Linked DNA regions of Tribolium castaneum. The protein of the gene in region 1 purifies or fractionates together with the protein of each later gene. This does not show direct contact. Links are inferred from orthologs where the notes say so. Each region holds a gene or a part of one and is shown on either strand. Other genes may lie near its edges. The genes, in order: U2 snRNP-associated SURP motif-containing protein and calcium homeostasis endoplasmic reticulum protein.

Region 1 (4,386 bases):
ATCAATCGGGGAGATGACATTAAAAATAAACTTATCCTCATAATCAACCCGCATGGGTCTATCAACCACAGCCTTTAGTTTGAAAGTGATGGAGCCATGGGGGCCATGATAGCTCGAAGGAATATCGTAGGGTAAATGGTACGAAAAAGGGTACACTTGGCGCCCCCTAGACACCTCCCGACTCCCAGATTCAGACCCAAACAACATCTGTTTAACATGAAACACGTCATGATCCCCGGTTAAAGTAATATGTCGTGTTTTAGTGGAATTGTCTGTTGGGTCCTTATACTCCTCAGTCCCAGTCCACTCATTATGTTCCCTACATATGATCTCAAGTTTTATTCCTAGAAAAAAATGTAAAAACACATTGCTACAAAAATCATAATGCACCTCTAACAGTAGTCTCTTCATCAAAATAACACTCAAGCCGGCCCCTAATCTCAGATCCGGCATAATATGTCCCAGAATAATTCTCCAAACAAATGCGAACTTGAGACATTTCGCCCAAATTGTGGATCACCCCCTGTATAAAAATGTGTCGTAAAATCCTAACCTACCTTAGTGTTTCATGAATGAGACAGTTTATTTTAATAAATCAATTATAAATCATCCACGTACCTAAGTGAAGAAAAACCGTGGCGTAATTAGACGTAATTCATTTCTTTTCACCACTTCGACGAGAATTCAGCCTTGAATGGCGCCACTGAATTGAATTAAAAATAAAAACTGGTTGAAATATTTGAGCCCATCCCACTAATGTGAGACGAAGAGGTCGTAAATTGTGGCCATTGAAGTAAACAAGGAAGGAGAATTGTGACTAAATGAATGAGATAACGTAAAATGCTGATACGACTACACGTAAACACTACTCTATCGATGACTACGAAAACAGTTTTTCGCCCTAAAACTGCAATTCAAGTGCACTGTTATGCAATAATACTAATAATGAGCGGCGACCTCTAAAGCGGCCTTGGCAGTAGTGATTATGTAATTAGCGATTCACATGTCGTAGAGACTATTATTTCCCAAAATAAAATGAAAATAAAATAGTAATGATTTTTTTTGTTGATACAAATATTAATTAACAGTCTGCGTTTTTTATTAATTTATATATATTTTTTATTTGATGAGTTTATAGGACGATTTATGTGAAAATGATAAACACATAATGAAGCTAATGACTTGAATAATTACAGTAAACACAAACATTTTGTTTATTTTTGAAATAAACATAGTTACGAGATTTTGGAGTGTTCTTGTAGGCAACACGTAATACACCCATTTTTTATAAAACGTTACATAATTACGTTATCAATTTTTAGTTTCGAGTTTTTTAGTTTTTTACAAAAAGTACAAAAACGTGTGGATATTGTTTTAACTTTGTTGTTTTTTGGTTCATGTATTTTCGCCCAAAGTTTGGGAACGTTTACACGCAGTGTCAGCGTCGCCAATAGCCCACAATATGAAAACGCAAACTCCCTAAAACCACCAGTGTATTATTATTTTTTCATATCAGGAAATTAAACAATTATATTATGACTATTATTAGGTTTCCTTCAATATTAATTAGCTAAAACCGTTTTGTGAAGTGTTTGGTGGGAATTGCGTCCAAAATGGGTGATAAAATAAAGGTAGTTCACCCTAATAAAACCCCTCAAAACTAACGTTTTTCTCGTAACAGAACATTCCTGAGCAAAAATTAAAGGCTTTTTCGATCGGCACGATGGGGAAACGTTCGTTATCTAAAAAAGAATTAGAGGAACAACGGAAAAAAGAAGAGGAACGGGCTGCGGCTCATGTAGGACTAGTAATACAGTAGTATTTTTTACATAACCTCTTCGATTTAAGGTTTTTGAGGAATTTGTCGCTACGTTCCAAGAGTCCCCTATTAGCAGCTCGAGTAAAGTGTGGGTCAAAGCGGGGACTTACGATGCAGGAGCGCGAAGTATTTTTTAAATTGTGAAAAAAATCAAAAATAAATTGGGCTTTTGTAGAGGAGGATACTAAAGACAAGGGCAAGTTGTACAAACCGCAGTCCCGACTAGCCCCCACTGAATTAATGGCATCAACGGAAAAAGCTCAGTTTTACGCTAAATTAATCTCAGATAAGAAGCCTGAACGGTTAGGGAAGAAGAAACAGCACACTAAGAGCAACCTAGAGGCGTTTAAAGAGGAATTAAGACAGTAAATATACCATTGAGTTGGTCAAAATAGACAAAAATGTAGTGATAAGCGTAGAGCTAAAAATTGGTACAGTTCTTAGGTACACTATTACAAATAAAATATCAAAAGTCCCCACCGATCCCACGTGTGCTAAAAAAGTTATTCAATGTCAAAGGACAAAAGTATCGGTTTTTGCATTTTTTTGTAAAGCCGGAATTATGCCAAATGCAGGAAAAAGCGCCTGTATGGTCTGCAAATGTACTTATGTTTAAATGAACGCAAAACAAAATGAATGATTTTCTCTCTCCGTAATATAAATTTTGAAAACTTAGGAACAATAAAATACTTAGGCGTATTATTTGACCATATCTTGATAAAACAGTTATGATGAGTTTATTACTTGACGTGTCCTATAAATTAATGTAAATTTTCTAAGGATAAATAAATTATTATTGTTATTAAAATATTTTTTTAGCACACGTCGGATCGGTGGGGAGTTTTTTTATAGTTTATTTGTCATAGTTTACATAAGTCCTGTACGAATTTTCACCGCTATGCGAATTTTTGGAAATTGAAATGTCTATTCTGACCGGTCTCTTGTTTTGTGGCACAATTTGATGAAATTTTTGCCAGGATTCAGGAGGAGCGGGAGGAAAGACACAAGTACAAAGGGGTGCTCAGGACCCCCATGGAGTCCGAGCTGGACATGTTTTTGCGGAGCGGTGACTTGGGGTCGTTCGATAACGGCGACCCCACAACGACAAACCTCTACCTTGGCAACCTCAACCCCAAAATAACCGAGCAACAGTTGATGGAAATTTTCGGTCGTTACGGCCCCCTTGCTAGTATTAAAATAATGTGGCCCCGCTCGGACGAGGAGAAGGCCCGGGGCCGCAACTGCGGCTTCGTGGCCTACATGAGCCGAAAAGACGGCGAAAGGGCGCTTCGTAACTTAAACGGCAAAGAAATCCTAGGTTATGAAATGAAACTTGGTTGGGGAAAATCGGTAATAATCCCTCCACATCCCATTTACATCCCTCCCGCGCTCCTGGAACTGTCCTTCCCTCCGCCTCCCTCAGGACTGCCCTTCAACGCCCAGCCCTGCGCCCGGGATAAGGACGTTCTGCCCAAATCTGCAGAGGAACTGAACGAGATTTTGGGGCGCAGTGTTGTCAAAGTTGTGATTCCGACCGATAGAAATCTGTTGATGTTGATACACAGAATGGTCGAGTTTGTGGTTCGGGAGGGGCCCATGTTGGAAGCTATGATTATGAACCGGGAGATACACAACCCTAATTACAGGTTTCTTTTCGAAAATCAAAGCCCGGCTCATATCTACTACCGGTGGAAACTCTACTCCATCATGCACGGGGATTCACAGAAAGAGTGGAGCGTCAAAGAGTTTCGACTTTTCAAAAGTAAGAATTTGGTGTTTTGGACGGTTTTGCTCTAAAACGTGTTAATTTTGTGGAGATTTCGCGAAAACGCTCTCAAACGGCAAAATTATAATCTCCGTCAAGACATGATACACAACATACGGATACAAATAAACTTTGAAAAAAGTTGGGATATTATTGAATTTTAAAGAAAATCCACAGAAGCAATAAAAATAATACCATTTGTGTTTTTCTTTAAAGTTCTTTTTATCGTTTAAAGTTGTTCTGGTTTTATATCCTCCAGTAAATTTTGTCACCTTTAAAAACATTTATTCTTAAAAAATGACGTATACTCTGAAGTATATGAAGGACATTTGTATTGTATGTAATTCGTATGGATAAAATTATATAAATGGACGAGTAGTCATTACAGTTACAATATATAAACAATACAAATAAAATATGTAAAAAAATACCAAAAAAGAAAAAACTGACAAAATAGAGACATAACACTTGTACAAAACATTATAAATTACGAAGAAAAAGAGACTAAATAGATCGAATTGTAGAGTTTTTGGTCGGAAATTATGAAAGAAAATATCTAGATCTTTTGTAATAGAATTATATAATTTAAAACATTTCTTGTTTGCTTGCGAAGACGGTTCAATTTGGAAGCCCCCTCTGATGAATTCGTACACTGCCGGGATGCCCGATGAACTAGTGAACGACGACGAGGGTAAAGAGAGTACGAAAGGCTCCCTCTCTAACACGTACGTAACGCGTGAAAATATGCAAAAACTAAGATTTGATTTACAGGCAACGAGACCGCTTGGAAGACCTGATACGG
Region 2 (3,500 bases), on another chromosome or scaffold:
TCTACAGCGTGCTCAAAAACTGGCGCACACCGACTCAATGGTGTGTGGTAGAGAACTGGTTACATATAAAGGTAAAAATAGTAAAAAAATTCTTTGTATTAAAGTTATTCATAAATAACTAATTTTAGGTAAATGATATGTGGCAACGTTGTCTAACAGTCATGATCGCAATAGAATTTGAGCAACAATAAAAATAAATTATTTTTGAAATAATTCCCAGTGTTGACACATCTACAAATTGTGATTTTTTTGATGAATTTTAATTTTTTTAAATTAAAAAAACTGCTAAAGTCTGATAGTAAATTTTAAAATAATTATTCATCGTTTTGTTACGGAACGATTACCTCGTATAAAACATAAAAATATAAAAAAAATATGAAAACTAAAGAAGTTAACACAATAAGTTTGTAGCTCCAGATTTTTTAAAATATACTTTAGGAATTTTTTCAACATTTTTCCCGTAATCTGCACTTGCTTCTCAATAACGTACCACGCCAGTTTTTGAGCACCTTGTATAAGCCGTTGCTTAATATAATTTTTTCTAAAAAGAACTGAAGACTAACCCCTTAGTCCAGATTGTTTCCTCCTTTTCATCCTGAGAAATCCATTTCAGTAGCACATACTAACCAAAGAATTTGAAAGTTTTATCGATTATTTTATTGATTTGTGATTTTATGCACACTAGCAAAGAACAAACAGATTAAAATTAAACGAGACACTAATGATTGTGTAAGGATATGGATAAAACGTCACCAATAAAAAATATAATCTCTGCTGAGTTGCCGCATTTTTAAGCTTATTTCTTGAGCAAATAATTTCAAGCGAAATGTTTAAATATTCGTAACTTCCTTATTGTAAAAGATAAACAATTAAAACAAAGCCACTTTTTAAGAAGAATTTAATAATATAGACGCCATCTTTTTCCAATTATTTGTTTAGTGATATTTAATAAGACAAAATAGTACAATCTTTTCAGAAAAAAACGAACAATGTTACTATACAGGGTGAGAAAAGAAACAAATACCATGAGATCGGAATGTTCTGAATTAGAGCACGCTGTATTTGAGGAAGCCAGAATTTAGCCGCTTATTTACGGCTACACTTTTGAGCTTATCTTATTTTATGCTGATTTTACACAGCATAAAATAATAAATAATGTAAAGTATATTTTCGACCTCATATTATTATGTATATATTATGTATTAGGTTTTTTAGTCGGCGCAAAAATAAACATTTGTAGTTGGTATTTTCAAAATTTCTAACGGATATAGAATACAGTTACTAATTCTTTCAGTACTGCGTGAAGTAAGTAAAAAAATATATTCCAAATCTTTTATAAATTTACCTCTGTTGGGAATTTCTAAGCAAATTATTCCTTATTGTTAACTGCATTAACAAAATTCTGATTAGATCTTTTTTCCGAGCTGTATTAACGTCACTTATGATTTCCTCACTAGTTGGCACCACATGTCGTATTGCTTCAGGAGGCCGTATTTAATATTACTAATGATTTTGTCATAAACATTTTTAAGTCTTGGTTTCAAAAAATATATTCGAATTAGTTGCGGTTTTGGATTAATGTTTGTCGTGCTTGAAAAGTGAGACATTTGACGTTGATGGATCCTCGAAGCTGTTGAAAGTGTAGTGCGAAACCGAGTGTCCACTTTGTTCGATGTCTCAGATGTACAAATTAATTAAAAACTAGATTTTGTGAGTGTTTCCGACCATGTAATAGTTTTTGACACACTTATTCTAGTTGGAAGATACATCATATAAACCGTTAGATCCTAAAGATATTAGGTTGCCACCACCAGCGCCCCCTAGCGATCGTCTCCTGGCCGCTGTGGAAGCCTTTTATTCACTACCCAGCCACGAACGGCCCCGAGACAGGTAAAACATTGACAATTAGGTCACATTATTGTCTCAATTGACATTCACAATACAAAAAATACTATACTTTATAACTAATTATGCTGACGTGTCGTTTCTCTTATAAACAATGTGCGTTGTAAAAACAGTGAAGGTTGGGAAAAGCTAGGTTTGTATGAATACTACAAGGCAAAGAACAATGCGAAACGGCAAAAGGAGGAGCAAATCGCCGCCGGCCTCCGCGAGAAGTCCAGAAGCCCAAGCCCCATAGTCCTGCCAATGGAGAAGGAGCCGTCGCCGCCCAAACGACGGTACACGAGCAAATCGCCCTCGCCGCAAAGGCGCCGCTCGAAGTCCCGGTCCAAGTCGCGCTCCAGGTCCAGGAGTCCGCGCACGCCGCGCAGGAGGCACTCGCGGAGCGGTGGCCGGAGGCGGAGGAGCGTCTCCAGATCGCCCTCCAGGTCGCCAGTCAGGCGCTCGCCATCCCCGCCGCCAACCCTAAGTTTCAGGTACAACTGGCATTTTCAAACGAAACGACCACTCACTTTACTTGCAGCAGTGCACCACCGAGTTTCGTGCGGAACGAGAAACAGGAAATCGACTCGACCAATAAGGGACACCAGATGTTGCGGAAAATGGGGTGGGGCGGGAGCGGCTTGGGGGCCAACGAGCAGGGCATCGACGCCCCCATCTCCGGGGGGGACGTGCGCGATCGGCAAGATCAGTTCAAAGGTGTAGGGTGTAATTTGAACGATCCGTATGAAAACTTTAGGAAAAATAAGGGGGCCGCGTTCATTACGCGAATGAAGGCGCGGGCCGAGGAGAGAGCCAATGAGAGTAAGTTACTTGACTACTAGGGTCTTTCATTATTTTGACTGCGTTTTCGTACCGTATTTTCCGTGTTAGAGCATCATTTTTTACTTTACTTTAATCAAACGTAATGTTCCGGTACCTCTTTGACTGTTATGTTGCGCAAGTGATTCTCACGTATTGTAAAGAAAGGTATGTAAATAATTGTAATGTACAAATCTACGTCGACTAAATAAAAATCCTATTTTTAATTAAGTCCACATTCATTGTATTATATGAGAATAAATTGTTCCAAACAATTTTGGTTTTACTGTATGAGTGAATAAAACAAACACCCATGTTTCGACAGTTTAATACAAGAACCACAGATTTGTGACCTACATAAAAATAAAAACCCAATATAAAGCGAATAAATCAAAGTTACGATTTTAATACCTTCATTAAGACTTAGCCTACTTATGCTAGATGATGGGGGGCTGCCGGCGACGCCACGGCCGCCGCTTGTGGACTCGGGGGCGTGGGCGTGTTAGTCGGGGCCCCCTCGTTGGGCGGCGCTGAATGCGTCATTTGCGGCTGTTGCATCGCCCACTGGCCCTGATCCGCTTGCAGCCTCTGATGCGCCTGCTGGCGGGCCCTAAACTCGGCCGCTTTCAACTGTTCTAAATGAAACTGTTGCCGTTCCGTGATCAACTGTTGCCTCTGATACTCCAAACCCTCGCGTTCGCGCTCCATCGTCGTCTCCAACTCCTCAAAGTGCCTCAACTTAATCTCCAACTTCTTCATTTGCGTTTCGACCAACAACGCAACCAGCGACTTGATCT

What was found.
Region 2: the proteins of U2 snRNP-associated SURP motif-containing protein (region 1) and calcium homeostasis endoplasmic reticulum protein purify together in Homo sapiens (affinity purification with mass spectrometry; 4 studies listed by BioGRID and IntAct, with this or other methods). This does not show direct contact. The link is inferred for Tribolium castaneum from reciprocal best matches to the Homo sapiens genes U2SURP and CHERP.

What each region holds. Positions count from the first base shown.
Region 1 is NC_087403.1:337,015-341,400, forward strand, and holds the start of U2 snRNP-associated SURP motif-containing protein, read left to right. Parts: upstream 1-1,443; 5' UTR 1,444-1,613; coding exon 1,614-1,631; intron 1,632-1,681; coding exon 1,682-1,798; intron 1,799-1,848; coding exon 1,849-1,945; intron 1,946-1,994; coding exon 1,995-2,184; intron 2,185-2,796; coding exon 2,797-3,581; intron 3,582-4,197; coding exon 4,198-4,309; intron 4,310-4,355; coding exon 4,356-4,386. Other genes in the region: arrestin domain-containing protein 3, read right to left, coding at 1-344, 391-499.
Region 2 is NC_087395.1:15,657,360-15,660,859, reverse strand, and holds the end of calcium homeostasis endoplasmic reticulum protein, read left to right. Parts: intron 1-1,756; coding exon 1,757-1,890; intron 1,891-2,018; coding exon 2,019-2,378; intron 2,379-2,425; coding exon 2,426-2,726; 3' UTR 2,727-2,978; downstream 2,979-3,500. Other genes in the region: mor (SWI/SNF complex subunit SMARCC2), read right to left, coding at 3,136-3,500. UniProt on the Homo sapiens protein: Involved in calcium homeostasis, growth and proliferation.